4 linked regions of the Caenorhabditis elegans genome follow. The protein of the gene in region 2 purifies or fractionates together with the protein of the main gene of each other region. This does not show direct contact. Each region holds a gene or a part of one and is shown on either strand. Other genes may lie near its edges. The genes, in order: ran-4, acbp-3, exc-4 and Y71H2AM.20.

The links.
Region 1: the proteins of acbp-3 (region 2) and ran-4 fractionate together in Caenorhabditis elegans (co-fractionation; one large-scale study listed by BioGRID). This does not show direct contact.
Region 3: the proteins of acbp-3 (region 2) and exc-4 fractionate together in Caenorhabditis elegans (co-fractionation; one large-scale study listed by BioGRID). This does not show direct contact.
Region 4: the proteins of acbp-3 (region 2) and Y71H2AM.20 fractionate together in Caenorhabditis elegans (co-fractionation; one large-scale study listed by BioGRID). This does not show direct contact.

Annotation. Positions count from the first base shown.
Region 1 is NC_003279.8:8,587,672-8,593,632, reverse strand, and holds ran-4 (putative nuclear transport factor 2), read right to left. Parts: upstream 2,419-5,961; 5' UTR 2,417-2,418; coding exon 2,320-2,416; intron 2,279-2,319; coding exon 2,187-2,278; intron 2,144-2,186; coding exon 2,045-2,143; intron 2,000-2,044; coding exon 1,886-1,999; 3' UTR 1,655-1,885; downstream 1-1,654. Other genes in the region: R05D11.9 (Sphingomyelin phosphodiesterase 4), read right to left, coding at 1-176, 225-425, 476-604; tmem-208 (Transmembrane protein 208), read right to left, coding at 832-1,017, 1,114-1,226, 1,281-1,398, 1,449-1,541. UniProt on the Caenorhabditis elegans protein: Facilitates protein transport into the nucleus. Could be part of a multicomponent system of cytosolic factors that assemble at the pore complex during nuclear import.
Region 2 is NC_003284.9:10,900,249-10,906,947, reverse strand, and holds acbp-3 (Acyl-CoA-binding protein homolog 3), read right to left. Parts: upstream 3,677-6,699; 5' UTR 3,668-3,676; coding exon 3,607-3,667; intron 3,524-3,606; coding exon 3,403-3,523; intron 2,215-3,402; coding exon 2,121-2,214; intron 2,037-2,120; coding exon 1,962-2,036; 3' UTR 1,860-1,961; downstream 1-1,859. Other genes in the region: F47B10.8 (MARVEL domain-containing protein), read left to right, coding at 432-565, 770-863, 985-1,094, 1,149-1,228, 1,280-1,356, 1,407-1,561. UniProt on the Caenorhabditis elegans protein: Binds medium- and long-chain acyl-CoA esters with very high affinity and may function as an intracellular carrier of acyl-CoA esters.
Region 3 is NC_003279.8:14,510,825-14,521,387, forward strand, and holds exc-4 (Chloride intracellular channel exc-4), read right to left. Parts: upstream 7,896-10,563; 5' UTR 7,892-7,895; coding exon 7,511-7,891; intron 5,794-7,510; coding exon 5,659-5,793; intron 4,363-5,658; coding exon 4,135-4,362; intron 1,968-4,134; coding exon 1,839-1,967; 3' UTR 607-1,838; downstream 1-606. UniProt on the Caenorhabditis elegans protein: May insert into membranes and form chloride ion channels. Involved in the formation of the excretory canal. Required to prevent cystic lumenal expansions in the excretory cell.
Region 4 is NC_003281.10:2,780,460-2,788,571, reverse strand, and holds Y71H2AM.20 (Serine/threonine-protein phosphatase 2A activator), read left to right. Parts: upstream 1-2,623; 5' UTR 2,624-2,627; coding exon 2,628-2,705; intron 2,706-2,755; coding exon 2,756-2,881; intron 2,882-2,947; coding exon 2,948-3,037; intron 3,038-3,082; coding exon 3,083-3,425; intron 3,426-4,272; coding exon 4,273-4,637; coding exon of another isoform or gene 4,638-4,658; intron 4,659-5,620; coding exon 5,621-5,746; 3' UTR 5,747-5,800; downstream 5,801-8,112. Other genes in the region: tbcc-1 (C-CAP/cofactor C-like domain-containing protein), read right to left, coding at 1-127; nduc-2 (NADH dehydrogenase [ubiquinone] 1 subunit C2), read right to left, coding at 609-682, 1,365-1,710; cox-6B (Cytochrome oxidase c subunit VIb), read right to left, coding at 1,893-2,081, 2,145-2,264, 2,312-2,368; Y71H2AM.6 (DNA/pantothenate metabolism flavoprotein C-terminal domain-containing protein), read right to left, coding at 5,801-6,043, 6,807-7,239, 7,287-7,375, 7,423-7,491.

The sequences.
Region 1 (5,961 bases), on a different chromosome or scaffold from region 2:
ACAAGGGGCGAATCGGCACGAAAGAGCTGAAGTGGCGTCCGAATAGTTTGATGGGTGATTTTTGGAGATCTTGGGACTGACATCGAAGAAGGTGCCGTCTCATCGCATGGAAGAATTCTTGTGACATATTGAGAAACTGCTGAGAACAGAATTGAATCTTTTGCAGGCTCAGTTGGCTGAAAATTCAAAAGGATTCAGAATCAAAATTATGTAAAACAATATACCGCAGTTGACACTTCGCATTGATGTAGAATACTGTCCCAAAGTTCAGTACAAAGCTGATCATCCTCCAGGACGGTTTCGAAGAAAACTGAATTTGAGTTTATCAGTGATTGGATGTGACAATAAGGAGAATCTGGATAATGTTGTTGTATTAGAGGTGGGAGGATGGAGCACAAATCGATGTGGGGATTCTTGAAGATTTTCTGAAATGCTCCATATTGATAATTTTAATTTTGAAATAACTTATAAGTACATGAATAATCATTTTTGAAATAGGAACATTCTTGTCTGTGGAAATGATATTCGAACTGATCTCCCTACAAATTGAAACTACATCGTCCATCTGTGAAAATTCTGTTGGTGTCTGCCGCTGCTGGAACATCTCTGAAATTATATATAGAATCGACAACATTTTAAGTTTTTGAGAATACTAAAATAAGAGCGATCGGGAAAAATAACCATGAATAAAAACATTAAAATTTTTGGAAAAAATGTGTATTAAAAAAAAATATTTGAATAGATAAACATTACAAGTATGCAATAAATAAATACGATTATAATTTAAAATTTGAAGTGACTTAGGGAACATTGTTTTCTAGAAGTTATAATTTAACGTCTGTACACGACTTTTTCTCTTCTTCTGTCCAATTTCTTCTGTTTCTTGTCATCCATTTCATCTGAGTCTGATCCAGCGGTCAACCATGGTAGAAGGAATCCAGCAACAAATTTGTATGTGGCTGCTCCAGGAAAGGCGAGGAGCAAAAGGAATCCGTATGTAGAATAGAGTGAGATGATCTGGGAACAGAGTAAATTATACATTTGAAGATAGAATATTTCATTTTTGAACTATTAATGCGCACTTTCCCACACTTTTTTTTTGCAAAAACTAACTTGAATAATGACTGTCAGAATAATGGCGTCTTTACAGTATTCTCCGAATGCTTCTGGATCGTTCAAATCGGCACCAGCATCCAAAACATGTCCTTTATCGTCAAGCTTTGCTTCTAAAATCATAATTTCAGATTAATACAAAAAATTAATGGGTAAGACAAACTTACTAGCTAAAGATTTCATGAAAAGAATAGCAAAGATCTGCACGAGCGCTGAGACAGCAAAAAATACATAATCGGTGGAAGAGCACTGGCTCAGAAACATACACGATGAATAGTAGATTGCCTAAAACAATTTTTAAAAAATCGTTGAAATGTGAAATTACAAATGTTTACCATGCTAATCGTGCTAGCCACACTATAAGTGGTGACAGTCTTCTGATTCTCCTCATAGATCTCTTTCTGCCCTTTTGTTGCTTGTTTCACCATCTGTATTTAATTTTTATATTTTTGAGGTCATTGCTGAAAAAGTCAAAGGTATTGTAAAGGTTGAAAAACCACTAATAATAACGAATTAAACAAAATTTTCTCGATATCTCGGAAAGAAAATGATAAAAACTTCATTCTTTAGTTTGAACCGATTTGCAAACTAGAAGTTTGAAATTGTGCGAAATAGTAAAACGACACGAAACTGTGTGGGGAAAGAAACCGATTTAGAAACATGGAAAAAGCCGGGTTGAAATAGATATTTAAGCAATTTGGTGAAAATTCAGTTCTTGAAAAATTGTTCAATACGGGGACACATTTTGATAGGAAAGTGGACGAATTGATATCTAATTGTTGTGCAAGTCAAGTCGGAAGATCTCGTTTCCGATGAAGTAGGAACCCTGATTGTTTGGACGGAGAATAAAGACTTGCGAGAAGGGATTGATTGGATCTTCGTCGGTCTGAATAATTTTTTTTCGGTTTTTTTGAAAACTACTTCTACTTACCTTGAGCTGACCAAGAACCATCACTTGAATTGATCCATCATACAGAGGCTGAGAGTCAATCACAGTGATCGCTCGTTGAATTTTTGTGAATCCGAGAGTCTAAAAGTGTTTCGTTATTGAACTCTCGTACTTTTGCACAAACCGTGAACTTTTGGAGAATTCCGTCACGGCCTTTCGCTTGCTGTCCTTCAAAAGTCATGTAAGAGTTTTCTGGGTCGTACAAATCGGAGAGTCCTGAAATTCACTAAGTTTATTGTTTTTTTCAGACGAAATACCTTGAGCACGACTCATTCCATCGCCAACATCGAACTTTGAGTAGTAATGTTGAATGAAGGCCTTTGCAACACTTTCGTAATCAGGATTGAAGCTCATTCCTTTAAAAACGACAAATTGGGAAAAATAATTGAAAAAGAGTAAAAATAAATAAGATAGGTAGGAAAAAGCAACGAAGAATACGATAATTTTCGAAACAATTGAATTATATATTTACTCGAGATGGGTTGTCTCAATAAATTTTGAAAATTAGTTGTTAGATGAGCAGTGGTCTTGCTCGCATTGAGAAAAATAAACAGCAACCAAATTGTTTTTTTTTAGTTTTTAAAGTTTAAACCCTCGGCCTCATGTTTCAGTTTTCGAAAGAACAGTATTGTCTTCCTGCGTTTTGTTCGTTCTTGGGAAGTTTAATTAAAAATAATTATGAATTATTTGATTCCTCACAAGAGAAAACCGATTAAAAAAAATAAAAATGCCTAAATAAATTGGAAAATCAGAATAAAATGGCAAGGTGCCAGCATCGCGCGCACATTTTGTAGCATAATCCAGCGGAGCGCGATTACTGCACAGAAAGCGAGAGAGTGTGTAAACGAGAGAGAACACGTTATGAGCAGAGAAATCGCCTTGTCGTCACTCTTTTTGTTGAAGAGGCGCAGAGAAAAAAGAGTTGGTTGGCTCTGTTTTTATGTCTCTTTGAGCTCGCCAAAATGGAAAACAGAGCTGGAAAAGCAACAAAATAACGACAAAACCACTGAAATTATGTTCCTCTTTTGTTGTTGCTCCATTTTTTATTTCTTTCCATTCTACCAATTGAATAAGAAGTTAAACTTTATTCTTACTCCGTAATGTTGGCATTTCAAAAATCAATTTTCTGTAATTTATAGAAACTTGAAATAATTTTCCATCTCTGCGCATCCTCATGCCTTAGCGAACACCATATATGTATGTTCTTTCACTCTTCCCTTTTCGGCACCTGACCAGTCTTTTGAAGCCAACGTTTTCTGAAAATAAAGAACCGTTACTATTATATTTTCACATCATCCAGAACTGAAATGATATCAATTTTCGAGAGCTCATTACATCAAACTCATCCAGTCACATTTATGGTTACCTTGGTAACAGTTCATTGACAAAATTAATGCAAGCAATTCCGAACTCATTACATACTGCTTCTCACATGATTATCAAAATTCTATGAGCGATACATATACTCAGTTAGTTTTCAAATGTAGATTTTTGTAATTGAAAGGAAAATAAGTAAGCCAAACATTTTAAAACTAAATTGTATACCATTTTGCTGACTGAATTTGAGCAAGCTTTAAAACTCCCAAATTTTTTTCTAAAAATGGAAGAAAATTTATGTGAACCTCTAACTATGTGTCGATTTACCCAGCTTGTGTAATAGTTCGAGAATCAAAATTTTTTTAAAGTTTTTGGTCTTGATTTTTGACAGTATTAATTACATCTTTCTCAAAAGGAAAATCCCATCCAAGATAAAACATTTTAGCCTGTAAAAGTTGTGAAATCGCCTTAGAAGAATATGTGAGCTTTTTTCAAAAATCTCAGTCACATTTTGGAAAACTGCCAGATTTTCTAAAGATTTTATTTTTAGTAATTCCGAGCATCTTGCAGGTTCATACAACGTTCAAATACAAATTATTGGAACGTAGTTCAAATATAAAACTTGTAGAAAAAGCAACGTAATTGTCACTGAATACGAAAACGTATAGCAAATTTTGAAAATGTTAACTATGATGTTCGCCAATTTGACCATATGAGTGATTTAATTTAAACCTTTAATTAAAATTTTCATGAATGTGGCCGAGTTTTTTCACATTCGCGGCCACGCAACGCAGAAATATGTACATGGGTACAGTAACCCCTCCTGTCGAGTTAAATATACTCTTATAGGAGAGAGCTCTTAACTATTCACATGTACGAAAAATAATAATATTTGCCAATTTTCTCGCTCTCAAAATTCCATTTGAAAGAGAGAAAAAACTGTTCTCGATACACGAAGAAACATGCGATATATGTTAATCATAAAACCTTCTAACTTTTTATGTCAGTTTCTATTCTCTTCTCGATTCTCTTTACTTACGAATTCTCTTTCTTCTTCTACCCTTCATCTGTTTTGCTCGTTGTGCAATTGTCAGGAGACATTTAATCCGAGTTAATCAAGAATTTTCGAAATTTATCTGAATCCGATTTTGTTTCTCTTCAAAGTCAGAAGAAATCATAAAAATAATATAAAAGAGGAAGAGGATTATACAAATTTAGAAACATTATTCATTCTTTTTAATCATGATATCTCAAAGGATGTTGTTTACTTCAACTTTTGAAAGGATTTTATAGATAAATTGTTATGATTATTTACTTGTTTTGTTTCTTCCTCCAGTATTTAATCTGTGGTCACTTCGTGGTCTTCAAGGCTTTAGGTTCAGCTCATTTTGGTTGTTTAATAGTAAGTCATATGATACGAAGATTCACAGAATGATTTGATAATAATAATAATACGAAATCTCTTTTTCTATAATATTCTCAGAATGTCATACTTCTATAGAATTTATAAATACATTATTACTGTTTTGAAAACCTTTTTTTCCTAATCTATTCGCCGTCAATTTGGCGTTCTTCTAACATTCAGTATTCGAAATCAATGTTCAAAATTTGCTTAGAGAACACCCCAAAATTAGGTTCCGTCCATATCTTGGCTTTTTTCGCCGCCAGATTCAGAAAAAAACTGATTTTCTGTGAGTTCTATTCTATTTTTTTAATTTCTTAAACAATTGGAAATGGTACAGTGTGTTATAAAATAGTTTATTTATTCTGGTTCCTCATGAGAGCACCTCAATAAAAAGTAGTGACGTACATCCATCTGAAACAAAAATAACAATATGACGCCTTCTTAGTAGTACTTATGTTAGTTTCTATTAATGGACTTTTTTTTAAAATAAAAACTCAAAATAGTCAAAGAAATTCTAAAAATGGACATTTGCTAAAATTTAAGAGAAACGATTTCAAAAGATGAAATTATACTTTCCTCCCAACTTTTTTGCTTTTGATAAATTGCTGGCCGAGTTATAACTATTTCTAGGTCACGTATCAGAAGCCGGGTGAGTCTTGAGATCTTCGTGATGCCTTGTCATATCTAAATGAACGAAACTTGAATAAATTAATTAGGAGTCATCGGCTTCATTGAGTTCAGAAAAATTCTGTATAAAACAAAATCAAGATTCAGGTAAATATCTAGATTTTCGATCATTTTGGAACCGCGTTCCTGATATCGAAAAAACTTCGAATCCATTTAAAAGTTGAATAAATCAAATGAAAACTTCCTCTCATTTTTCTTCATTTCTCTCTCTATTTTTCCTTGATTTTATAGGTGATGACGATTCTGATCAACACAAAAATCTTATCACAAACTGTTGTTTCTTATCATTTTTTACACGTTCATACCAGTTTTCATTCCGAGTTCTTGAATTTCATAATTCTTTCATTTCGCCTTTCTATGTAGATATTGAAACTCCGCCCATTTGAGTAGCTCACCTGACTCTTATGACTTACCAGAAGGTTCTATTATCATTTTGGATATAATTCTGTTTTCTGATTCAAATTTTTTTTGAATTTCGGCAATGCACAAC
Region 2 (6,699 bases):
ACGCTATTCTAGAATAAATAATTCTGTGCACGGAGTTGTTGAAGCTTCTACAAAATTTTCTTCATTTTTTGATTTATTTTCTGCCATCCTGTGTCTGATGAATTTTGAGCCGTATTCAGTTGTTTTGGAATCAGATAACCCTGACTGTCCAATTATCAAGATTCCGCATTGTAAGTCGATTTTCTTTACTACACTTCTATTTTAAAAACATAAAAAAATGCTCAGTTCTTTTTTACATTTATCCTCTCAAAGTTAGTAAAAAGTGGTCAAGATTCAATTTCAACATTGTTTAGGACGCACACTTCTGTTATTGAATCTTTTCTTTCCAAGATGTTGTGCATTCACTTTTGGCACATTCTGAGCATTCATGAGCAAGGACCGAAATATTATCTACTATCGTGATCTCTACTATTACACTGTTATGTTTGCAGATGCAAACGGAAATGAAAACGGAAACGGAAACGGAATAATGAAAACGCCGCAACGGGAAACTGTCGTGAGCCTGGGTTTCACGGAAGATCCCATTCCTCCCAACAGTTATTGCTGCAATTCTTGTCATATTCAAGTAAGCTCGCATATAAAGTGTTCCCTTTTACTGGTTTCAGCAGATAGTCAGTTTTCAGATAAAGTAGAATAAGCGACTGCAAAAAAATGTGTGAATTTTTTTAAAAATTGTTGACTATAAATGTGATTTGAATAGTTTTTCTACGATGCAGATAATAAAAGAAAGTTGAAATATAATGTTTAAAAAACAACAACAACATTTCAGAAAGCGTGCCGAGCAGTTGCAGTATTTGCCTTTTTAGGATTTATCATAAACCTTGTTCTATATTTTATGGGCATCTCAAAACTCGGTCTAAACGGTAAGCACGTCACAATTTCTTGTTTATACCAACTATTTGCATACTTGTTTTGCTAAATTTATTCAAAATCCAATTTGTAATTCATTCATATAATTCTTTTCTCTATTTTTCTTTTTTGCAGGATATCTCGAAGCGTTCCTTCTTATATTCGACTGCATTTCTCTGCTGACTCTGTTTTGTGGTGTCTCAAAGCAACGTTCGGGATTGCTGAAGCCGTACTTGTTTTACAATGTATGTTTATTTTTTGCTTCGTTCTTTTTCATGAAACGTATAATTATGTTGCAGGTAATATGGAACTTTGGCATGATAATTTTGTTCCTGGTTTTTGTGTACCACATGTTGAAGGGAACTAGTGATGTATCGAGGTTTTGGGAACTAACAGACTCGGAACAAACTAAAAACAACTATATTTACAGGAACATCCTCGACAATCTTAAAGCTTTGCGATCAAATCCAGATGAGTATCACTTCCGATCAAGAGAAAGTGTTACCAGTGAGAACGATTATACTACTTGTGAATATTTATACTTCAAAATTTTTCAGCTGCAATCCTGGTCACACTGGGTGTGATGGCTGCCATGTCGTTTGTTATAGTCATAAATTGCATATTTTTGCATGTTGTCTACCGCACTTTTCAGTTTTTTGCATACCAGGAAGACAAGAAGAGAGAGGAAATGGATAAAAAGGAACGCTTATAACCTTTGCAATGTTTTATCTGAAATGTTTAACCTCGTGCTTTCTATTGAACTATCTCTTACACACAAACATTATGTTGATCTCTTATGTATTCCGAATTCATTTAATTTCCTTCTCGGGTGCTCGTCTGATTTTCATTTTTATTTTATATTGTGGATTTAAAATTTATTCACAGTTTCAACTCTACTGCAATAAAAATTATGTATACATACAATGTTCAAATTTCACTATTACAAATGCAATTCATAGTTTTCATTTTCATGCAAGATTCTTCCAATGTACAGTAAAACTATAGAGTTATTCAATTTACAAAATTAATTCATATTTATTTAGTATCAAGAAGCAATACAAATAATTATATTGTTCGAAATTTGAAAAAAAAATGTTTATGATAATTAAGATTTACTTTCCAATGAGAGCGAGGTTGGTTTTGATGACTGGGTCAATTTGTTCAAGCCAAGCGGCAACATCAAGTTCCTGAAAACAAAGTAATTCTGAACGTAACTACTAGTTTCTGCTACAAAAACTTCAAACGTTTGCCGACAAGACCCATTCACATACCTCGGCGATTTTGTCAAACATGTCGTTTAGAGCCTTGATATAACGCTCTTTAGCTTCATCTTGAGACACTCCTTCGAGCTCTTTCCATGAGTCCCTGGAAATCGGATTAACTGGGGTTGGTCAGGAAAATGCCAGTAAATACTGTGAGCCAGTTGGAATTAATTGTTATTTTTACATGGCTTCAACATCAATAGTCGCAACGTACCATTTTCAGACAAGTAGTTAAACTATTTTGAGTTATTGGAACTGACCCATCTAACTTTTTCAATTACTATTGTACATTTTATTAGAAATGTGTACTATTAAAAGTGCACTAAAAATCGGTGTTTGAAAAATTATACCAGCAGTCTGTTTAGAATTGCGATCTTAGCACTCCACACTTTTACAACTTTTTTTTTAGCGCCAGCCAATGAAATAAATAGAAAACATTACAAGATATACTACCTTTTTATGGATGTTTCAAAATCACGACTGTTATAATTAGATACGATCACTCGTTCTTTTGAAACTTTCTGATTTTAAATAATACTTGTATTTAAATTGCCTTTTTTGTATTATTGCCTTTTAGAATAAAACCTTCACTATCGCCAGCATTGAAATAATGTTCCACCAACACATATGTTTGATGGGTTCGTTCTTTTTATTCATGAACGAGTACTTGTGTAATATCAGTACACCAAAAAATCTTTTTAATTTTTTTCAAAAATACAATATGAGTTCTTTTTGAATTTTAGACTTAGGAAAAATCTAAACCTAAAAATGAATTGAGCATTAAAATGGTTATTTACGTTGTGGTCATTTTGGAATTTTATCCATTGCATACATTGTGGGATACAGTAACTACACAAGTACCCATGAACGGAATTATTTTTTGAATCCATGTTTCTACAAACGTGAAAACATTAATACAGGCTTCGTGTTATTTTTAAGGGGTATTTCAAACATAGTTTATGGTTTTGAAGAGACCAATGATCAGAAACGACACTCTACATTTCTTCAAAACTTTTTATTGATAATTTCACAATCATCCGTTCCTACTCGTTTTTTGTGGCACCATATTCGAAGAAAATGATAATTGCATCGTTTGCAGACACAACGCCGACATTTGTTGCATAGCGATAAGTTAATATATATTGCGGTCAAAAAATCAACACACATAACTCACGCAATTCTGATGCAGTTTAGCTAGCCACGCGGTCATGACTCATTTGTCAATGAAATAAGAAAAAAAGAATTCCCCTTTTTCGAATCAGACAAAGGAATAATGAAAAAAAAAACTGACCACTTCTTTCTCTCGATGATGGAGAAAATTCCTGGTCTATCGGTGTTCACATCTCCGATAGAAGCCTGTTTGAACAAAGAGTAAAAGGTAAGCTTCTGATCATTGCTGGTGGCAACTGGTCCTAGAAAAATTGTAAATTTAGCTTTGAATCAACTACATCATAGCATAGTTTGTAGCATTGTAGCGAATCAAAGTCCAACGTACCTGTTTTTGGAAGTTTCTGGATGATTTCCACAGCAGCGTCGAACTTTTCTTGAAGAGACATTTTCTGAAATAAGAAAGCGTTGAAATTTTTAGGTTAATGAATAGATTAAAAAGATTAAAAAGTTCGAAGCGGTTTTCAAATTGCAAATTGATTGACTTTTTCAAAGGCCTTGAAATAAACTACACCTATTTACTTAGTTATCAAACACGGTTTAAATCAAACAAGACATCAAAACGAGACTAGAATCCAAAAAGTACAAAACAGGGAGAACTGAACGTGAAGAAATCTGTGAGTAGTGCCGTTGGGCGCCGTCAGCCCGATCGGATTTACAAGGACAAACGGGCTGCTGCTGTTGACCTAAATCTTTTCCCTGGATATAAAGATGACCCATTCAGTATCGTGTCTTCCCGTGAACAAGACGTCATCTTTTTATCATTGGCGCTGGTCTTCGGGAAGGACAGTACAATTAATTGTCCGGAAAACTGCGGGTGAGAGATTACACTCATTTAAAGGATACCATTGGAGAATGGAATAGGATAATATCATTTTGAGAAAAAAATAGAATAAATTGAACTCAGGTATTTGACAATAGTAAAAACGTGTATTCTTATTGTTAGAATTTACTTCTAAATTGAAATTTATGTGGTTGCTGTACATCAAAAAATGTTCAAAAACCATATGAAATATTTCAAATCTTTTTAATATAAAATGTAAAAAAATTCTTTGTAGAAACTTCAATATACTTTCAAAATAAAATACACACGTACCAAAATGTATTTCACTTTTCTTGTAATATTCAGAGCATAACAAAAAGTGGGAAACAATCGAAAATAATAATAGAAAATAATCAAAGTTTACCATAAACTTCAAAAAAAAGTATAATATATTTATTTTATGAATTCACCGATTGTTGCCTTATTTTCTCTGTTGTTCGTATATTTTGCAAACTTTATGAAGACACCCAGTTTAAAAGAATTGAATGTTTTTTGAAATTTACGACTGTTTCCGATAAGTTACTCGTTTCAGACAGTTTAATTAAATCTTCAATTTTGCCAAATGCTTATTTGGATTACGTACTTATTAGTTTTTTTCTCGGATAAACAAGGAAAATACCTAGTTTGGAGTATAAATAATTTTTTAAACGTTAAATTTTTAGTAAATGTTTCGTAGATGAATTTTTGTCCCTCATAATGCTTGACGGTCGTCTTTTTTCAAGAATTACAAAAATCACATTAAAAGTTGAAAATAGGTTTTTAAAATATACAAAAAGATCATGACAAACACAATGATACAGACATCACATTAGATTTTTGACTATACAACGTGTTATCTGATAAGAACATGGAATTCAAGTTGCGTAGCTGCAGCAAACATTAGTGGCATGACGTTTTACTGGAAAGATAACCTTCCATGTTACTGCGACTAGTTTCAAATTTGGTGCTTAATGACCACGTGAGACTTTGTTGCGTGTTTTTATTTTGGTGGCTATGTTTTTCAAAAAATTTACCTGTCTGACAAATAGTAACAAACACATGGTAACTGATCAACCGTATTTATAAGATTTTAGAATTTTCAACAAAGTTAATTTTCTTTATAGAATAATTATTATAGTCACTGTTTTTACTGTGGTTGTATAATGTCGTTCTAAAATAAAAATAAAAAACTGTTCTGCTGAGTTCAGTAATAAAACTTTGTATTCATTTATACGTTTTCATGTTTTCGACGTTTTCATTTTTGTTTTCGTTTCCACGTTACGTTCCACGTTGTCACCTTTGTAGATGTAGAGATGATTTTGGTGCCTGCTCTGGCTGAAATTGAAGAGTGGTGTATTTTTGATCCATTACATTTCAAGAAAACATGTAAACTTTAAGAGACTTTAATCTATACATGTACATTGCCAGACAGTAATACTTTTTCAAAGATCAGTAAATACCCAATTGAATCAAACGAAGAAATATGACGTCTTTCTATCCACCCACTTATCCAATGCAAGACTCTGTCTATTCTCTCTCATTTTTTCTCACCCAGAGCGAAAAAATGCCTTTTGGTTTTCCAACTCTACGCTCATTTTCTTCTTCATACTCAACATCCTATCTGTTTGGCGGGAAGAGAGTCAAAGAAAAAAGGGAAATAGAGTTGTGTGTCTCACGTTGGAACGGCATGCAAGAAGGACACAACAACGCTGCACACTACACGCAGATGGGTCCTCTCTCTCTCGTCTTTCCCTCTGACAATTCCATTGATCCATCGTTGTCTGTCTCTATGTCCCGGGGAAACATAGAGAAGAAGAGAAAACCTTCTTGTTTCCTCGTTTACCCCTACTGATAATTTCATCCAACTCAACCTTTTTTCCTCTCGTTGGCCCCTCTTGTTTTGATGTGACATGGATGCACGGAGCTTGATTGCATCCAATTGTTATCAATATTACTTTAGTTTATTTTATATGTGATTATGGGAGTAGTTATTTTAAGAGGCCGAATTCCTTTTTTTATGTGAAATCTCGTGGGTTTCCCAATTTGAAATTAATGTTTTTGGCTAGTACGCTGTTCCAGTTTTTTGTTTAAATTAACATTTATTCCAACTGATCATGCATTTGAAAATACGAATATAAAACAAAATCTTTGATATTCCTGATCCCTCGGCAGTCTGAAATTTGAATTCCTATCTTTGTTTTTTTAGGAAAACCTTACAAGTAGCCTCTGATCGAATCCGCCATTTATTTATTATCAGTTCCCTTTCTGTTTGCACTTTTCCTGTCTTCACCTCCTCCGATACTTTGTACCTTATCTTTTCTGCGAACAATCTATTCTCCACTTTTTGCCCAACCACAACCACGTTGCTGGCCGACGATCTTTGAGAGACAGCGTATGTCCATCTTTCTGCCTCTACCGTTTCTAGACATATTTTAAAGCTTTTTGTTCAATTTTTGGTTTTCGACGGTTTTAAATCATTTCATATACCTTTTCTCAGATGTAGTAGATATTTTCTGTCTAGGTATCACCTCATTGCCACCCTCTCATTCTTGCATTGAATGCGCGTAGCCTCTTGTGCAAAGGAGAGGGCAAAGTCCGCAATGTGTCGTAGCGTCCCGT
Region 3 (10,563 bases), on a different chromosome or scaffold from region 2:
GAAAATTTGAAGTTTTTCGAGAGAAAATTGGAAATTTGCGATTAATTTCAAGAAAAATTGGAGTTTTTCAAAAGAAAATCGGAATTTGTTACAATTTTTGCGAAAAAATGCAATAATTTTCGATTTTTTTTTGCGGAAAATTAATAGTTGTACGAGAAAATTGGATTTTTTAAAACTATTTTTCAACAAAAAATCGGAATTTTTCGCATTTTCTTATTGAAAAATTCAAATTTATCATTTTTTCAAGGGAAATCTGAGATTTTTTCCATTTTTCGGAAAAAAAACACGGTTTTTTTCGCTTTTTTTCATTCAAAAATGATATTTTTGATTTTTCTACAAGAAAATCGGGATTTGTTACTTTTTTCCATAAAAAATCAGATTTCTTTTAAAAATTACCAATTTCCAGAAAATAAACTCGAATTTTTAGATTTTTTCGCCGAAAAATCCAATTTTTGCAGTTTTTAATTCAAATTTTCTGCAGAAATCGTAAAAACGGGGAAAAAAACAGGAAAAAAATATGAAATAAAATAAAGTTAGTTGGAAATCAAAGAAAACCGAGTCCAAAAAAAAAAGCGGAAAATTCAAATTTTTCAAAAAAAAAAAAATCAATAAATGGGGGTTTATTTATTAACAAAATAATAATGGCAAGAGAGATAAAATTCGCAAAAAAAAAATTAGAAAAAAATATGGGGAGAATTGCGTCGAATTTTCAGTCAAAATTGAGCAAATTGGGTATAATTTCAGTCAAAAAATAGAAAAAAAAAGATAAATATATAAATAACGGGAAAATATTATGCTTTTCAAAAAAATCGATCGTTGGTTCTTTTTGTGGAGGGGGAAGGCCGGAATGGAAATAAAATGAGATAGATGTGTGTGTGTGTGTGTGGGTGGGGAGAGAGAGAGAGAGAAGAGAAATAGAGAGTTAGACAGTTTTTTTCGCGGAAAAACATTTTTTTGCTCTTTAAATGACAGATTTTTCGGATTTTTTTTGTTGAAAAAAGTTGGAAAAATTGGAAATTTTGTGAAAAATTTTGGGAAATTCTGGAAATTTAATACATTTCACGTTTTTTTTTGCAAAAAAATTGGAAAATTTTCTGATTTTTCAGATAGAAACGTTGGAAATACTTTGATTATTCCAGTATTTTTGCAAAAAAAAAAATGAAATTTTCAGATATTGCCGGTATTTTTTGGAAAAATCTGGAAATTTTCTGATTTTTTCCGTTTTTTTCCCGAAAAAATTGGAAATTTTGTAATTTTTTTTCGGTTTTAACAGCGAAAATCTGCAAATTTTCTGTTTTATTTCAGAATTTTCAACGAAAATCTGAAATAATCGCTTTTTCTCGTATTTTTTGAAAAAAGTCGGTTTTTTAAAGCGAAAATCTGGATAATGTCTGATTTTTTGAAAAAAAAATCGGAAATTTCCGAATATTCCCGCACTTTTTTTGTTTTGAAAAAATGGAAATTTTCCCAATTTTCGAAGAATTATTTCAATATTTTTTGCGAAAATCTGGAAATTTTAGGCGTTTTTCTGAGAAAACTCGGTTTTTGAATTTTTTTTGCTGATTTTTATGTGAAAATGTGGGAAAAATATATAAAAAGAATAGCCAAAAAAATTGAACAAATTTGCCATTTTTTTAATAGATTTTCATCACATAAAAATCAGCTCCAATTTTTCCAAAATTTTTTGATTTTCTCTTTACAAGAAAAATTCAAAATTCCGGTTTTTTGTGTCAATTCGACGAAAAAATTACCAAAATATGCAATTTTTAGCCGAAATTTTTTTAAATTTTCGTTGAGAAATCTGTCACTTAAAGAGCAAATAGTAGAGGGAATTTAATTTAATGAACATTAACATCGGGAGCAAGTCCTTTAACACGAATATCCGATAGCACTTTTTCCGGAATTGTGTGCGTTTTTGTTGGCGATTGGAGGGTTTCACGTTGATTTGTGAACAGATTCATTTGTTCCTGCAAATTCAGAGAATTTTGGGGTTTAAAAATCACATAAATTGGGAAACGACTACAAACTAGAGTTTTGTTAGCCGCACCAAACTTTTGTTGATTTCGCTGTAAAATTGAAAAATTTACACCAAACATTTTTCAAAAAAATTAATTATCATAGAAGCAAGCGCTCTCCTCAAAGCCGAATAATTATTAGAGCGCGCTTGCAGACCAGGAAAATTAAAATTTTTCGATTTTCTCTTTAAAAAATACCAAATTTCGGCTTAAAAATTGCTAGAATCGTCAATTTTGCTTATTTATTTAGCCTGAAACGAGTTAAAAAAAATAGCACAATTTAAGGAATTTTCGAGGAAAATAGTACTTCTCACGATCTCCTCAAAGCCGATTAATTATTAGAGCGCGCTTGCAGCGCCTCGCGTTTCTGCATCCGGGGTATTTTGTCTTTCCACTGAAAAAATCAGTTTTTTTTTCAGATTTATCGAATTTTTAGCTTTTAAAAATTTTTTCCTGCATTTTTCGAACAAACCGTTTTGTTAAACAGTAAAAATCGAATTTAAAATGACTAAAAGGAACTTTTCTCGTCCACGGGTTGAGAAATGGTTTGAATTTGAAGAAATCAGCGGGATTTTTCGTATTTTCTGAATATTTTCCTATTAAAAATCGGTTGCAAACCATTTTTTGACCCTAACGTTAAGTCACAAATGTTGAATCCAATTTTTAATAGAAAAATATTTAGAAAATAAGAAAAATCCCGCTGATTTCTTCAAATTCAAACCATTTCACAACCAGTGGACGAAAAAAGTTCATTTTAGTCATTCTAAATTCGATTTTCACTGTTAAACAAAACGGTTTGTTCGAAAAATGCAGGAAAAAATTTTTAAAAGCTAAAAATTCGATAAATCTGAAAAAAAAGCTGCTTTTTTCAGTGGAAAGGCAAAATACCCCGGATGCAGAAACGCGAGGCGCTGCAAGCGCGCTCTAATAATTAATCGGCTTTGAGGAGATCGTGAGAAGTACTATTTTCCTCGAAAATTCCTTAAATCGTGCTATTTTTTTAAACTCGTTTCAGGCTAAATAAATAAGCAAAATTGACGATCCTAGCAATTTTTAAGCCGAAATTTGGTTTTTTTTTTGGTCAAAATCGAAAGTGGAAACACTAACAATTTCCAGATTTTCGCTAAAAATATTGAAATAATCAGAAATGTTCCAAATTTTGTTCGAAAAATGGAAGAATTTCCGGGAAAAATCGGGAAAAATTTTTTTTTCGATTTTTTTTTAGATTTTCAATGAAAAAATCGAAAATTCAAGTGCACTATTTCTCCAAAGCGTGAAAAAGTACTAGTTTACACAATTTTTGTCATTTTTCATATAAATTTGGCGTTTAAAACCTCAAAAATGGTGCATTTTTAGTCGCGCCTGTCTCGGTTTTCTCTCAAAAAACCCAACACTGGGGTCAAATTTGCTCAAAAAGTGCAATTTCTGTTGTTTCTATGAAATAAGGCGTGAGCTGTAATAAAAATATTGAATTCTGCATGTTTTGTTGGTTTTTTTAAACAAAAAAAAATTGTTCCTCGGCACCCCTGATTCTGGCTAACAAATCTGTAGTTTGTAGTGTCGAGTCTTCGTAGTTTGTAGCTTCATCCTCACTTTATAGTCATGAATAATGTCCTGATCGGCCGAAATTTGGATTTTTTTCAAGAGAAAATCGAAAATTTTGAATTGTTGCAAGCAAAAAAAAAAAAACATCCTTTTCTGGTCTTTTTGCTATTTCTAAAGACTTTTTCTACACTTTCACATAAAAATTAGCATATTTTTTGAGAAATCAATAGTTTTCTCGTTTTTTTAAAAAAGATTTTCAATGAAAAAGTCGAAATTATTCCCCAAAGCCACAATTTTTGTCATTTTTCATATAAATCAAACTGGAGATATATTATTTAAATAAATTGAATTTTTCCGAAATCTTCTGAACTAAAACCTTTTGGCCATTTTTTCTTTTTCAGAATAATAATTCGTATGTTTTTTCTTATTAAAATATAGACAAAATTAGAATAAAAATTGTATGTTTCATGGCTAATTCGAATTTTTTTTTGGTTGGTTTTTTCAACAAAAAACATTGTTCCTCGGCACCCCTGATTCCGGCTAACAAATCTGTAGTTTGCAGCTTCATCCTCACTTTATAGTGATGAATAATGTCCTGATCGGCGGGACAACTCTCAATAAATGCTGCTGTACGGTATGCAGTGAGGATATAAGCCCAGAGATGAGTGAAATTATGTGGAATATCGAATCCAAGAAGTGACAATCCAATAATTCGAATATGATGAAGACGTGGCATCAGTTCACAGTCATATTCAGTCATACTGTTTCCAAGTAGATATCGAGATTTTCTCTCGGATAGCAACTGCAATAAAATGGGGGCAATTTTTGATGGAATTATGTTGACAAGATGCGATAAACAATATTTATCACAAAAAATTGGGGAAATTGGGAAATTGGGCAAAGTGCCGGTTTGCCAAATTTCCGGCAAATTTGGCAAACTTCCAGAATTGAAATTCTCAGAAAATAGGTACTTTACCGGCGAATCATCGGAAATTTGCATTGCCTAAAATTAAAATTTACGGCAAAATGGAAAATTTGTCGGAATTGAAATTTCCGGCAAATCGGCAATTTGCCGGAATACTAAATTTTTGGCAAAATGCCAGAATAGAAATTTCCAGCAAATCGGGATTTTGCCGGAAAATTGGGGAAAATGTGCAATTACCGGTTTGCTAGAAATTTCCGGCAACTTTGGCAAACCGGCAATTGCGCATATATTTTTCTGAAACTTTTTATGAATTTCAATTTCAAACGGAAAACGCATCCTATGAAGTGTTTCAGTATTATCAAAAATCTTTTTATAAAATTCCGGCAAATTGATATCCGGCAAGCAAATCGGCAGTTTGCCGGATTTTAAAATTTCCGATAGGTTGGCAATTTGCCGGAATAATAAATTTTCGGCAGTTTGCCAGAATTGAGATTTTCCGTTTTGCCGATTTGTTGGAAATTTTCTGTATCGTCAAAGTGTCGATTTGCCGGAAAATTGCCATTTTCCCGTAAATTAAAATTTCCAGAAAATAGGTACTTACCCAAAATTAAAATTTACGGCAAATCGGCAGTTTGCCGGAATTGAAAATTTCCGGCAAATTGGCACTTTGCCGGAATACTAAATTTTCGGCAATTTGCCAGAATTGAAATTTCCGGTAAATCAGTAATTTGCCGGAATTGATCATTTTCGGCAATTTACCAGAATTGAAAATTTCCGGCAAATTGGCACTTTGCCGGAATTGAAATTTTTTGTTTTGCCGATTTACCGTAATTTTTTATTTTCGGCAAAGTACCTATTTGCCGAAAATTAAAATTTCCAGAAAATAGGTACCTCACCGAAAATTGAAATTTACGGCAAAATGACAATTTGCCGGAATTCAAAATTTCCGTTTTGCCGATTTGCCGGAAATTTTCATTCTCGGCAAATAGGTAGCTTTCCTAAACTTAAAATTTCCCGGCAAAATGGCAATTTGCAGAAACTTAACATTTCCCGGCAATCGGAAACTTGCCGGACATTTTCAATTCCGGCAAAGTGCCGATTTGCCGGAAAATTTGCCGAAAATTAAAATTTTCGGCAAATGGGCAATTTCGCAGATTTCTGTGTGTATTTTACCTGATCAATATTGGATAGTTGCTCACAGACTCGATTGTAGTGAACTTTAATCTGTGCTGGAAGATCTTCAACTCTCGATGGCTCCTTTTTTCCCTTATCGAACTCTACTTTTGCTCGCAGGAACAGTTTGAAGTTCTGAAAAATGAGAGGAAATTAGACGGGGGAAAACGTCAAATTTAACTTTGTCGATTTACGCGCGTCGTGAAAAATGGATTTTTTCGAAGTTTTACCAGAAAAATTGGAATTATTTGAAGTTTTTCCGGAAAAATTAATTTTTTTTGAAGTTTTTCCGGGAAAATTGGATTTTTTTTGAAGTTTTTCCGGAAAAATTGGGAAATGTTTCTTTTTTTTTTTTAGGAAAAAACAGAATTTTCCATACTGTTAAGACAAAATTGGACCAATTTCTAAATTTTTTCATCGAAAAAAGGACATTTTTGAGATATCAAGCTGTGTGAAGCCTCGTGTACTCCCCGAGGAGAAGATTTTACGGATTTTGCTGAAAATCAATATTTTAAATCAATTTATTGCAGTTTTCATATTTTCTATGAAATTTGGTATTTTTAATCAGAAAATCGATAACTTAATGACAAAATGTTGCATTTCAGTGAGAAAACCAGAAATTTCTGAAAAAATGCAGTTTTTGGCGGAAAAGTGATTATTTTTCGGTAAAAATTCGGTATTTTCAAAAGAAAATCGAGAATTTTACGAAAATTGACGATTTTCGTGGGGAAACCCTGTTGAAAATTGATGAATTAAATATTTTTCGCGGAAATTTTCAGAGTTTTCGTTAAAAACTTGTATTTTTCGCTTTTTCTAACAAAAATTTTCAATTTTCCCGGGGAAATGATGTATTTTTGTTTCACTGAAAACACTATAAATCAGCAAAAACTGCAAAATGTTCTCCTCGTGGAGTACAAGGCATTTTTTCGCAAAAAATCCATTTTTTGATTTAAATTTTTATAGAAATGTAGAAAATGGGTTGTTCTAGTTGAAAATAACATATATTTTTGTTGAAAATCTTGAAAAAGTCATCAAAACCTTTTAACGGCACTTTTTCGGCTTTTCAAGATTTTCAACAAAGATAAATGTTATTTTCAAATAGAACAACCCGTTTTCTACATTTCTATATCAATTTTAGATTAAAAATTTATTTTTTTGCCGAAAAAGTGCCGCACAGCCCTGAAAACTGGATAATCTTTTCCACGAGGAATACACGATCCGCGTAAATCAACACATTAGGCGTTCGATTTACGCGGATCGTGTACTCCTCGTGGAAAATAAAATTCGTTCTTAATCTAAAATTGATATAGAAATATAGAAAACGGGTTGTTCTATTTGAAAATAACATTTACTTTTGTTGAAAATCTTGAAAAAGACCTCAAATAGTGCCTGAAAGTTGCCGTTTGCCGGAAAAGTGCCGTTAAAAGTTTTTAGATTAAAAAAACTGGGTTGTTTCAAAATGAAAATCACCTTTAATCGGCACTTTTTCCGGCAAACGGAACAAAAATTAATGTTATTTTCATGTGTATGTGATTAAAGGGATTTTCATTTTGAAAGAACCCAGTTTTTTTAATCTAAAAACTTTTAACGGCACTTTTCCGGCAAACGGCAACTTTCAGGCACTATTTGAGGTCTTTTTCAAGATTTTCAACAAAAGTAAATGTTATTTTCAAATAGAACAACCCGTTTTCTATATTTCTATATCAATTTTAGACTAAAAATTCATTTTTTTGACGAAAAAGTGAAAAAAAAGTGCCCCACAACCCTGAAAACTACAGAATCTTTTCCACGAGGAGTACACGATCCGCGTAAATCGACAGTTTCCGGGCTTCTTCTTCTTCCATACACTCACCCTGTACAAGTTCTCTATTCTCTTCTCAGCGGATGGATCCTTTTCAAAGAGTGGAACATTGAATTCCTTTGCCAAATGAAAGATCCGTCCTTCAATCTCTCGATTATCAGTGTATGTCAGCTCTTTTTCCTCTTCAATCATAATCGGTGGTTGTGCTCCGAGAAAGTTCTTCTTAAATGCTTCAGAATTCACGTTGACAGTCTTCACTTCGACTCGTGCAACTCCAATCTCATAAAGAGCATACAACTCCATCCAGAATTCCTGACAGAAAAGATCGGCTCCAATGCGGCGAGCATCAATTCCTGACGCTTTTACGTAGAGCTCGAGAAGAGGTTTTGATTGGGGATCTCCGTTTGATTGGATCTGGTAAGCTTCTGCCATATCTGGAATTAGCGGTGGTTGTTGGAGAGGAAAATTTGGTGAGATAACACAATAAATCCGGAAGAAACAGAAGAAAATTAGTGTATATTTTAAATATATATATATATATATACCACGGCTGGTATATATATATATATATACCAGCCGTGGACCGCACCTTCGGCGCGGCCCCCGACTTCTGGGGCTGAAAATTAATTTTTTATGAAACTACCGTAACCCTACAGTATTCCTACCGTACCACTATTGTACCACTACAGTACCCCGACTATATCCCTACACTAACCCTAACTCACTATCCCTCCAGAAGCCAAAACTTCACAGACTACAAAGACCACATAGACTACAAACTATGGACACACAGAATAAGCGCTTTATATATAGTAAATGATATATATATATATCGAATAAATGGAGAATTTTTAAATTTAGTGAGAAAATATTTACGACAATTGGTGTAAATACTGGAAATTTTAGGTAACAACATCCGTTTTTTACGAATATTTGTTAATTTTCCAATGAATGTTCAAAATTTAGATTTAATAGCTAGTTTTGGGAGTTTTCCACACCTTTTTTTGGATTTCAGCATCAGATTTTAGCATGTTTCTGGAAATTTGTTTCTGGGAATTTCTCAATGAAATTGAAGAAATTTTTTGTTTTGTTACTAGAAAATATTATACAAAGCAAGTTCGAGATAGCTTGAAAACTTTAGTTTCCAGGGGAAATTCTATTACGAGAACAGAAAATTCTGAGAATGCGTACATCGCAACATATTTGACGCGCAAAATATCTCGTAGCGAAACCTACAGTAACCCTTCAAATGACTACTGTAGCTCTGTGTGTGTGGATTTACGGGACTGACTTTCGAGACAATGATATTCAATTTTCTGTAGCTTTTTTTACTGTGTTATTTTTAAAGTGTGCTTTTAATACGCTATCAATTAATAAACGATTTCCGTAAATCGACACAAGCGCTACAGTAGTCATTTTAAGAATTACTGTAGTTTTCGCTACGAGATATTTTGCGCGTCAAATATGTTGCGATGTACGCATTCTCAGAATTTCTTGTTCCCGTAATAAAAAATGAGCCATTGTGGAATTTACTTTCAATATTTCTTACTAAAAATATATTTTAATTTCAGGTTTAAGGTTTTAGTAACAAAAATTGTAATTGTAATTGCAATGGAATGGGGGGTTTTTCAGTAATTCGCAACTTTTAGACGAGATTTGAACACTTTGAACTAAAATACAAGGTACGAGGTATTTTAGTTCTAAAGTGTGCAAAAAACTAGCTGAAAGTTGCAAATTGCGGGAAATCTCCCGATTTTCAGACAAGATGTCCTCCTAAAGCCTTTCAATTGGAATTAAAGCTATATTGAATTAGAAAACCTCATTTTCTATATTCCGTGACAAATATTTTTGGTAAAGAATATTAGAATCACGTGGAGTCACAGAAAGTCTCATTTTGCTTTGATCTTCGAAAAATGCGGGAGAAGAGACGCAGACATCTAATCTGATTTCGCATGGTTAAGTGCGTGCTGACGTCACAATTTTCTGGAAAAATATTCCCGCATTTTTCATAGATCAAACCGCAATGAGACAGTCTGACACCACGTGTAAAAGATTTAAATTGCTTCGCAAAATTTTTTAAAGTAAAATTAAGTTTTTCGGTTAGATTCTGCGATTTCTATATTTCGTGATTAGATTTTAATGAAACAACATGCCAAAATGGCTCTTTTAAAAATTATGTCGATTTACGGCTTAAGTACACATTTTTCTGATAAAAAATGCCAAAAAAATCGAAAAAAAATTATGAAATCGTCCAGAAAGTCAGCAGGTACATGGTCTCGCAACTTGTTAATTGACGAGACACCCCCCGAACGGATCGAACAGAGAGTGTAGAGACCCCAGAGAAAACCGTCCCCCAAATAAATGTCCAATTTGGAAATCCCGCAGTGTGTAGAAGTAGAAGAAGAAGAAGAGAAAGATACAAATACATCTACACTAGACACTAACATATAATACATACATACATACAATCATAAAAATTGTGGAGACGTCGGTCGGTCGGTCGGCGGGTGCTGCTGTTGGTGGTGTAATCGGAAACGAATCACACAGAAACGGTTTATGCGATGCGATTTATTCATAAAATATATATATGTGAATAGTATGCGAGATTCCGAAAACTAGATGCCGTCAGGTGAAGAGTGGCATTTCTGGAATTTCTATTGACGTGGTGAAATTGATCGATATACGTCATTTTTCAGGCAAAAACCCAGAAATCAGTTGAGAAAAGTCTGCGTCTGAATTCCCGCATTTTTTGTAGATCAAAACGTGTACACTCGAAATAATAAAACTGCGTGGCGTGTACTGCAGAAAACCTCATAATTAGCCCCCGCCTTTTTATCGTCCACTCACGGGGAAAAGACAAAATTCGGGGACCAACCAATATCAGGCCGCCGACATCTCATGGGTTCCGCGCGCCGCTATGTTTAACTCGTTGTGGGTGTGGCAAGCTGCCTCCGCCCGCTGCGAGTTAAACATAGCGGCGCGCGGAACCCATGAGATGTCGGCGGCCTGATATTGGTTGGTCCCCGAATTTTGCCTTTTCCCCGTGAGTGGACGACAAAAAGGCGGGGCCTAATTATGAGGTTTTCTGCAGTACACGCCACTCA
Region 4 (8,112 bases), on a different chromosome or scaffold from region 2:
TTTGTGCTCCTTCAGATTTCGATAAACATTCTTCAGTTTGCACTTTTCGTTCTTCATTTCTTTGTTCCAGTTTTGCAATTAATCGATCTTTTCGATCCAATAAAATTTGTTCCGAAGATGCTTCCATTATGCTGAAATCTGGCGTTTTTTTGCGCGATTTTTGTGGCAAAAAACTGGTCTCGCCACGACAATTTTGAGTTTTTTTTTAAATTTTTGATCGATTTTTCATAGTTTTTTTTTCAGATTTTATAGAAATTTATGTGTTTTTATTCTAGTTTCGTTAAAAAAATATGCAAAAATTCTCATAAAATGTGAGAAAAACTATAAAAAATCAATAAAAACCACCGGAACAAAAGTTTAAAACTACAGTACTTTTTAAAGGCGCATCCCTCTTCGCATTTAACACAAATTGTCGCGTCGAGACCCAGGATATAGTATAGTATTTTTGCCCCAAAATTGCTTCTGGGTTAATTAGTTATATTCAAAACGGCTCAAAAGACCAGATGGATGCTGAAAAATGAAAAAAATGAGAATTTTCCGGGAAAAAAATCAATAATTCTTCATTTAATTTACAATAATGAACTAAAAAGAGACTTCGAGAGAATTGTTCAGTCGTATCTGGTGTACTGGGTTCTGCGTGGATACCATGGAAGAAGAACTTGAGAGAATGAACGTCCACTGCCTGAAAAATAAATAGATTCCATGAATTTTTGATGATTTTCTTGCATTTTTCACTAGAAAATCTTCCGTTTTCCCAGAAATTTTGAATTTTTTAGCCAGAATTCCCTTTTTTTCGCACTAATTTCCAAAATAATTACTTAGAATTGCGAAAAAAAAACTGAATTCTAGTCCAAAATTCAAGTTTTCTGTGATGTGTCGATTTACGCAGCTCGTGTACTCCTCGAGGAGAAGATTAAGCTGAAATGCGCCATTTTCACTATTTTTTTTCTGAATTTAACATAAAAATCGGTGATTTATAGTATTTTACATGAACAATGACGAATTTACTGTTAAAAAATACGAAAAAACCGATAATTTGTAGTTTTCCATGGTGTTTTAGGCTAAAATCGGTTTTTCACGCCAATTTTTGCTATTTTTAAGATAAAAATCATTGATTTGGGTGTTTGAATGCAAAAATTGGTCCGAAATCGAGCATTTTAGCCAAATCTTCTCCTTTTCAGCGTTTTTTTTTCGGGGAAAATGTATATATTTTCTGCATTTATCACAGAAAATCGCGAAAAATACGGTATTCTCTGGGGGGAAAAAGCCGAAATCTTTCAAATTTGATCGAATTCAGCCGGGTTTTTTTTTCGAAATTGCAGTAAAATCTGAAAATCGATTTTTCAGCAAATTCCAAAACTCACGATCATTAAAATGGTCGAAATCCTCTGGATGAAGCTTCATGTAGTGCTCGATGACTGCGTCTCTCGTCTGATAGTGTCTCTCTCGAAGTGCTCCGGCAGCGTATCCGGCGGCGGTGGCGGCTCCGATGAGCAAAAGCCGTGGAACAATTGCGTAGTAGTACGGCTTCTTGTTCCATCGATTTTGCAAATAAACCGAAGCCAGCGAGATTCCGAGCATTGCACTGGCACCCTTCAATGGGTAGCTCCATGTGAATGGATCGGCCAGGTGACGAGCTCTGTGTCCTGCGCGAATAAAGGTCTCGCGGCGCTCGATTTCCTTCTCGCTGACGCGAGTTGAGTCAGCCATGGTTTCCACTGAGAAAATTATTTATTTGGGGGAAATATGATTTTTAAAAAAAATGAGATATTTCAAGCGTCTCATAACGCCATAAGAAATAAAAGTGTTTAAAATATTTTACAAGTGACACTTTTTATCGAATATCAGCACTAATAAAACGCCTGTTCTCGAATACAATCGAACAATCTCATTTAGCGATCGAATTTAGCTGGGAAACGTCCCTCGGAAAGAAGCTCGTCCCATCTCTCGGTCCAGAATCCGGGGCAGAAGTCCTTGTAGACATTTTGGAAGAACTTGCACGGCTTGTAGTCCTGTCCCATGAGCTCATTGCAACGATGGAAATCGACGTAGTAGGCGAAGCATTGACGTTGCTTACGGACCTGAAAACTTGTACATTTTTATTATTAATTAATATATAATAAATTTTAAATAAAGTTACCAACCTGTGGGAATCTGGCGTCGTATGGAGCAGCCCAGAGAAGATCCTTCTTCACAGACTCGTGGGTCTCCTTCTTGTACCAGTCTGGCGAGTCTGGATGACGGAGAGCATCGGAGAACTTCTCCTGTAAATTTTTATCGATAAAAATGAAGAAAAACGCTAAAAATTCACCTTGTATTGCTGGAGTCTCTCGTAAGTGGTTGGGGGAACCTCAACTTCGACAGGCATTACTGAAATTGAATATAATTGAAATTTAAACACGGGCGGTTATTTTCAAAGCTCAGAAATCCGTGAAAACCGAATTAAACAATATTTAAAATCAATAAAAATTTTTCACTAAAGACGCTGCGCGAGCCACACACTCCTATACACCTCTCACGCACAAAACGCTCCACAATGGGGTTTTGCGTTGGAGCGCACTTGCTGCATTATTTTTTTACATAACAAAGTTCTAGAAATCAAAACAAATAGATTTTTTTCCAGAAAAATGGCTGAAAACTCGTATAAACCGCCGGAAAAGATGATTAAAAATGTGTTCGACCTGAATCCGTGGTACTTTTCCAAGGTAGAACAGAAATTTTATCGATTTGAAGGATTATGAATGGAAATTTGCAGGCTTACGAGGAGTACCTGGCTTTCTTGCATCGTTTGAATGATTCTGTAGTTGGAGTTCATACAACTGCAGACATGAGATGCACAGACTTGGTTATCAGCTTTATCGACATGCTGGATAAGCTGGAGGTTCGAGAAATTACGGAAAATTACGAAAAACCAGATTTAAAAAAATAAAAAATGGATTTTTTTCAGAAATGGGCTGAGGAAATTCCTCTGGAAGATGTTTCCGAGCAAAGATTTGGCAATAAAGCTTACAGAAAGTTTTATGAGAAGCTTTGCAAGGTTTTTAGCTCAAAAATGTATTTAAAAAGATTTTAAAAATTCCAGGAATCCCCAGATCTCCTAGCCAGCGTTCTTCCGGAAAACGTCCACGATGCTCTAGTCGAACTGGTTCCATATTTCACAGAATCCTTCGGAAACGCCACTCGAATCGATTACGGCTCGGGACACGAGGCGAATTTCCTAATTTTGCTGTTTTGCCTGCAAAAGTTGGGCGTTTTCACAGAAAATGATGACAAAGTGCTCGTTCTTCGCATTTTTAACAAGTATTTGAGAGTGTGCCGTCATCTGCAGACCAGATTCAAGATGGAGCCGGCTGGAAGTCGTGGAGTTCATGCGATTGACGATTTTCAGTTCGCGCCGTTCATTTTTGGAAGCGCTCAGCTTATTGGTAATATGTTGGAGCAACTAGAAGTCTTGAAATTCAGGAAAATAGCTGAATTTTCCATTAAAAACTCAAAAATTCTCAAGAAACCACAATTATTAAGTCGTTTTCCGAAGAAAAACCGACTTATTTTCACAGATTGTCGGAAAATTCTATCTAAAATGTCTTTTTTCACAGTATTTGTTCAAAAAACGTTCATTTTTCAAGGATTTTTCATTCGAAATCATGCATTTTTCCGTTTTTTCGTTGAAAATCATCAAATTTCACGATTTTTGTCGAAAAATCACAAATTTTTGCGATTTTTTTTAAATAAAAAATCAACAATTTTCCCGATTTTTCATTAAAAAATCATCACATTTTTGCGATTTTTGCCAAAAAATCATAAATTTTGGCAATTTTCCTTTAAAAATCATAAGTTTTCACAATTTTTCATTGAAAAATCCTCAATTTCTCCGTTAAAAATCATCAATTTTCGCGATTTTCCTATTAAAAATCCGGGAAAAATCGTTTAAAATCTTCAATCTACAACATTTCCTCGTAGGAAAACTTCAAAAAAAGCTAGTTTTCACTAAATTTCCTGTGAAACTTAAAAAAGGCACCGAAAATGACAAAAAAAAATTTTTCTACAATTTTTCTAGAAAACCCCGCTTAAAAGCATATTTCTGTGAAAATTTCAGAAAAAAAATTATAAAATTTTACTAGAAAATCACCTAAAAATCTAGTTTTCTACCAATAAATTACAAAAAAAAAAACTTTTGAATTTCCAAAGCTTATATAGGCCTGAAATATGTTGAAAAATGCCAAAAAATAGCCAAAAATCCGCTCCAAAATCTTAAATTGTTTCGATTTTCAGGTTCAAAAAGTATCGTGCCGGACAGTTACCTAAAAAAGAATATTGTTGAGACTCACGCCCACACAAGTCTTTTCCTGGACTGCGTAAACTTTATCAATCAAACAAAAACCGGCCCTTTCCACGAACATTCAAATCAACTTTGGAATATCTCAGCAGTTCCACACTGGAAAAAAGTCAATAGTGGAATGTTTAAAATGTATGAAGGAGAAGTTTTAAAGAAGTTTCCAGTTGTTCAGCACATGATGTTCGGCTCTTTATTCTCATTTGATCGATCGGAGCATCCAAGAGAATCTATGGAAGATGCTCCGTCACAGGATCCGATGCCTCCAAGAGCTCCGGCTCAGCATGGAATGTTCGCTTTTAAGGTTAATTCGGAGAAGAAAATGGTAAAAATATCGACAATTATAGAGATTTTAAAGCGAAATTTTCAATTTTTCACTGGAAAAATTGATTTTTTTGAAAAATAAATGGAAAAAATCGAGAAGAAGTGGTGATTTTTTTGGCAGAAAAACCAATTTTCACTGAAAACGCACTAAACCGCTGAATTTTCACCTTCAAACAGAAAATTCTTTTAAAACTGATTTTTGTCAGAAAAAAACGTTTTGTATGGAAAATTACGATTTTTTGCTGGAAGAATTGAGAAATGACCAAATTTTTCAACAAAAGCTATTATAATCGCCTTAAATTTCGAGTTTTCCCGTAGAAAACTTACAAAAAGTGTATATTAAAAGTGTATATAAACCAATGAAACCCAAGATTTTTGTTTCTTTTTCTAAAAATTAGTAGAAAAATTAGGAAAAAAAATCAATTTGTTATGACCCTTTTTCTGAAAATTTGCGTTAATTCTGAAAAAACCACTTTTTTTACAAAAATTTTTTATGGTCGGTCAAAATATCGAAGAAAAAAAAGCCAAATTTTGCTAAAATCTGAAATTTCGCACACTTTTCTTTGTCACAGCCGCTGGATTTTAATTTTTCTGAAATTATCAACCTTTAATCCTTATTTTGGTGATTTATCTCGCGGAAATTCGTTGATCGAGACAACTTTTAGGCCGATAGGCACCCAAAAATGATCAAAATGAGATAAATCACCAAAATAAGGATTAAAGGGTGATAATTTCAGAAAAATTAAAATCCAGCGGCTGTGACAAAGAAAAGTGTGCGAAATTTCAGATTTTAGCAAAATTTGGCTTTTTTTTCTTCGATATTTTGACCGACCATAAAAAATTTTTGTAAAAAAAGTGGTTTTTTCAGAATTAACGCAAATTTTCAGAAAGAGGGTGATAAAAAATTGATTTTTCCATCATTTTTCTCACAAACTCCCCCTGAAAAATCAAATATTATTTCAGATCCCATCCGCCGCCAACACTTCAACCGTCCATTCGTCATCTGTCGTCGAATCTGGAGACTTGCGACGTCTTCACAGTGAGAAACATCCCAACGAGCACTGCCCACCACCAATGGCCGATGCATGATCTCTACTATATTAAAATATTTATTCATTTTCCGTGAAAATCATGACTGTATATCTACATTTGTGCATCAATAAATTGTCTGTGTAAAGCGCTAACACGATCGATTATAAACGATTCGATCTCCAGCTCGGGGGCTCCCGGAGCAAGATTAATCTCCTCTCCTTGCTCAATATTCTTTCTGACGAGAGTTACACGTTGCTTGCGAGTTGATAGCATATTCGCGATGACGAGTTGATGGCCGTACTTGGAGAGAGCAGCTTTTGCCTTTGGAATCAGCTTTGTTTCGTCCGTTTCTAGCTGGAAATTTACGAATTAAATTGAAATTTAGCGGGGGGAAATGGGCATTTTCAACTAATTTTTTGATTAAAAATTGAGAAAAAGCACGAAAAATACAGTAGAAATTGAATTTATGTACTTTTTCTTCCAAAAAAAAAGAGAAAAAACCGTGAAAAAAAAGTACATTGGACATTGAAATATATTGAAATATAGTTTTTTTTTCTAAAATTGAAAAAAAAAACCGATTTTTTTAAAACACCTTTTGCCATTTTTCAATAATTTTTTAGTTAAAAATTGAAAAAAAAATCATATTAAATTACAGTAACCCTTTAAAGGCGCAGGCCTTCTTTTAAAAAGTTTCTGCGGTCGTGCCGATACCCGCCAAAGGAATTTTTGCATTTTTTCCTGGGGTTTTCGTTTTATTTTTCATTTTCACTTCAAATTTCAAAAATACTGTTAAATTTCAACCAATTTCTTGCGGTTTCTTTAGGTTTTCGTCCTTTTTAAACAATTTTTTGCTAAAAAGTGGAAAAAAAAGCTACAGTAACCCTTTAAAGGCGCACACCTTTTTTCAAAAAGTGTCTGTGGTCGTGCCAAGACCCGTCAATATAATTTTTGCATTTTTTCGGGATTTTTTTCGATTAAAAGTGGCAAAAATATCCAATTCCAAGTGGTTTACGGGAGAGAAAACCAAAATTTTCGATAAAATCGCATTTTTTGGACATTTTTGCACAAAAAAATCGGTGAAAATAGCAAATTTCGATCAAAAATCGCAAGAACAAACTTTAAACGAGACGATAAACGCATTCGGGATGAAGCAGGTGACAACTTTTTGAATAACTTTCGGAGCAACGCTGAGCTCCAGGCTCAGCTCGGTGTTGCTGGCGATTTTGTGAGTTGGCAGCTCGGTGACGACAAAATCTGAAACCGCAGCGGCCAAATAAGCCATTGCACGGGATCCCAGAGGATTTAGATGAATGCAAATTTGCTCGAGACGTGACATATACTGATCGAAGGTCTTGAACGGAATGTACAGAATTTTCTCCTCGTACTTGAACTTGTCCCGCAGAATTTGCGCGAGATTCGGCAGATCACACACAACATTCTCCCCATCTAGCTTCAGCGAATTGAAAATATTCGGAAAATGCCTGGAGAACGGCTTCAGGGACTCCTCGCGGTGCATGAAGATCACCGCGTAGCCGGCTCGCAGGAAATATCTGCAGAAAATTCAATTCTTTTTTCGTTGATTTTCATTTTAAATTACTCTGCACTCGCTGCTCCACGAGTTCCCATCGAAAAATTGTCGATAAAGCGGACAGTGTTCTTTTCCAGCGGCACTTGAGTTCCTCCGCTCTGAATTCTGTTTTATTTCAGTATTTCAGGAAAAAAAAGAGAATTACCGTGATAAAAACAATTGGAATATTCTGCTGCTTTTTCAGAAAGCTTTCAATCTCGTCATCAGAGGACATTTTCGATTTAAAATTGTTTTTTTTTAATTTATAAAATAAAATTCAAAATTGATTTCGAGTGGGTACGGTAGACAAAAGTGTGCAAACACCGCCACGCAAAACCACACCAACAGAGTTTTTCACTTTTATTTTCAACATTTTTCGCGAGATTTTACATTTTTCGATGCTCAAATCGCATAATTTTCGAATTTTCAGCGGATTTTTATTGTAAAAATTCAATTAATTACTCAGAAATACACTGGTGAAGGATTCTTCGATTTGACCCATGTAGCGGGGGTTTTAAACTCGATTTTTTAGCTAAATTTTTTTTAAAACAGGGGGTTTCCTATCTAAAATTCACATTTATTGCCAGTTTGAACCTGCTAAAGCACCCTAAACGGCTGAAAATTTAGAAATTTAGAAAAAAAAACGAATTTGCATGTGAAACTCCTCGTTAAAAATAAAAAATGACTCATCCATTTTATTTCATAATAATTCTCAAATCAATTTTATTCTTCCAAATATTATTTCTATATGTATTTATCGACTTTCCGCCGCTCCGGGAGACGGGCGGAACGAAAATCGATAGGGTGGTGCGCCACGCGTTCTCTGCGTCTCCACCATCCTCTCAACTATTCCTTC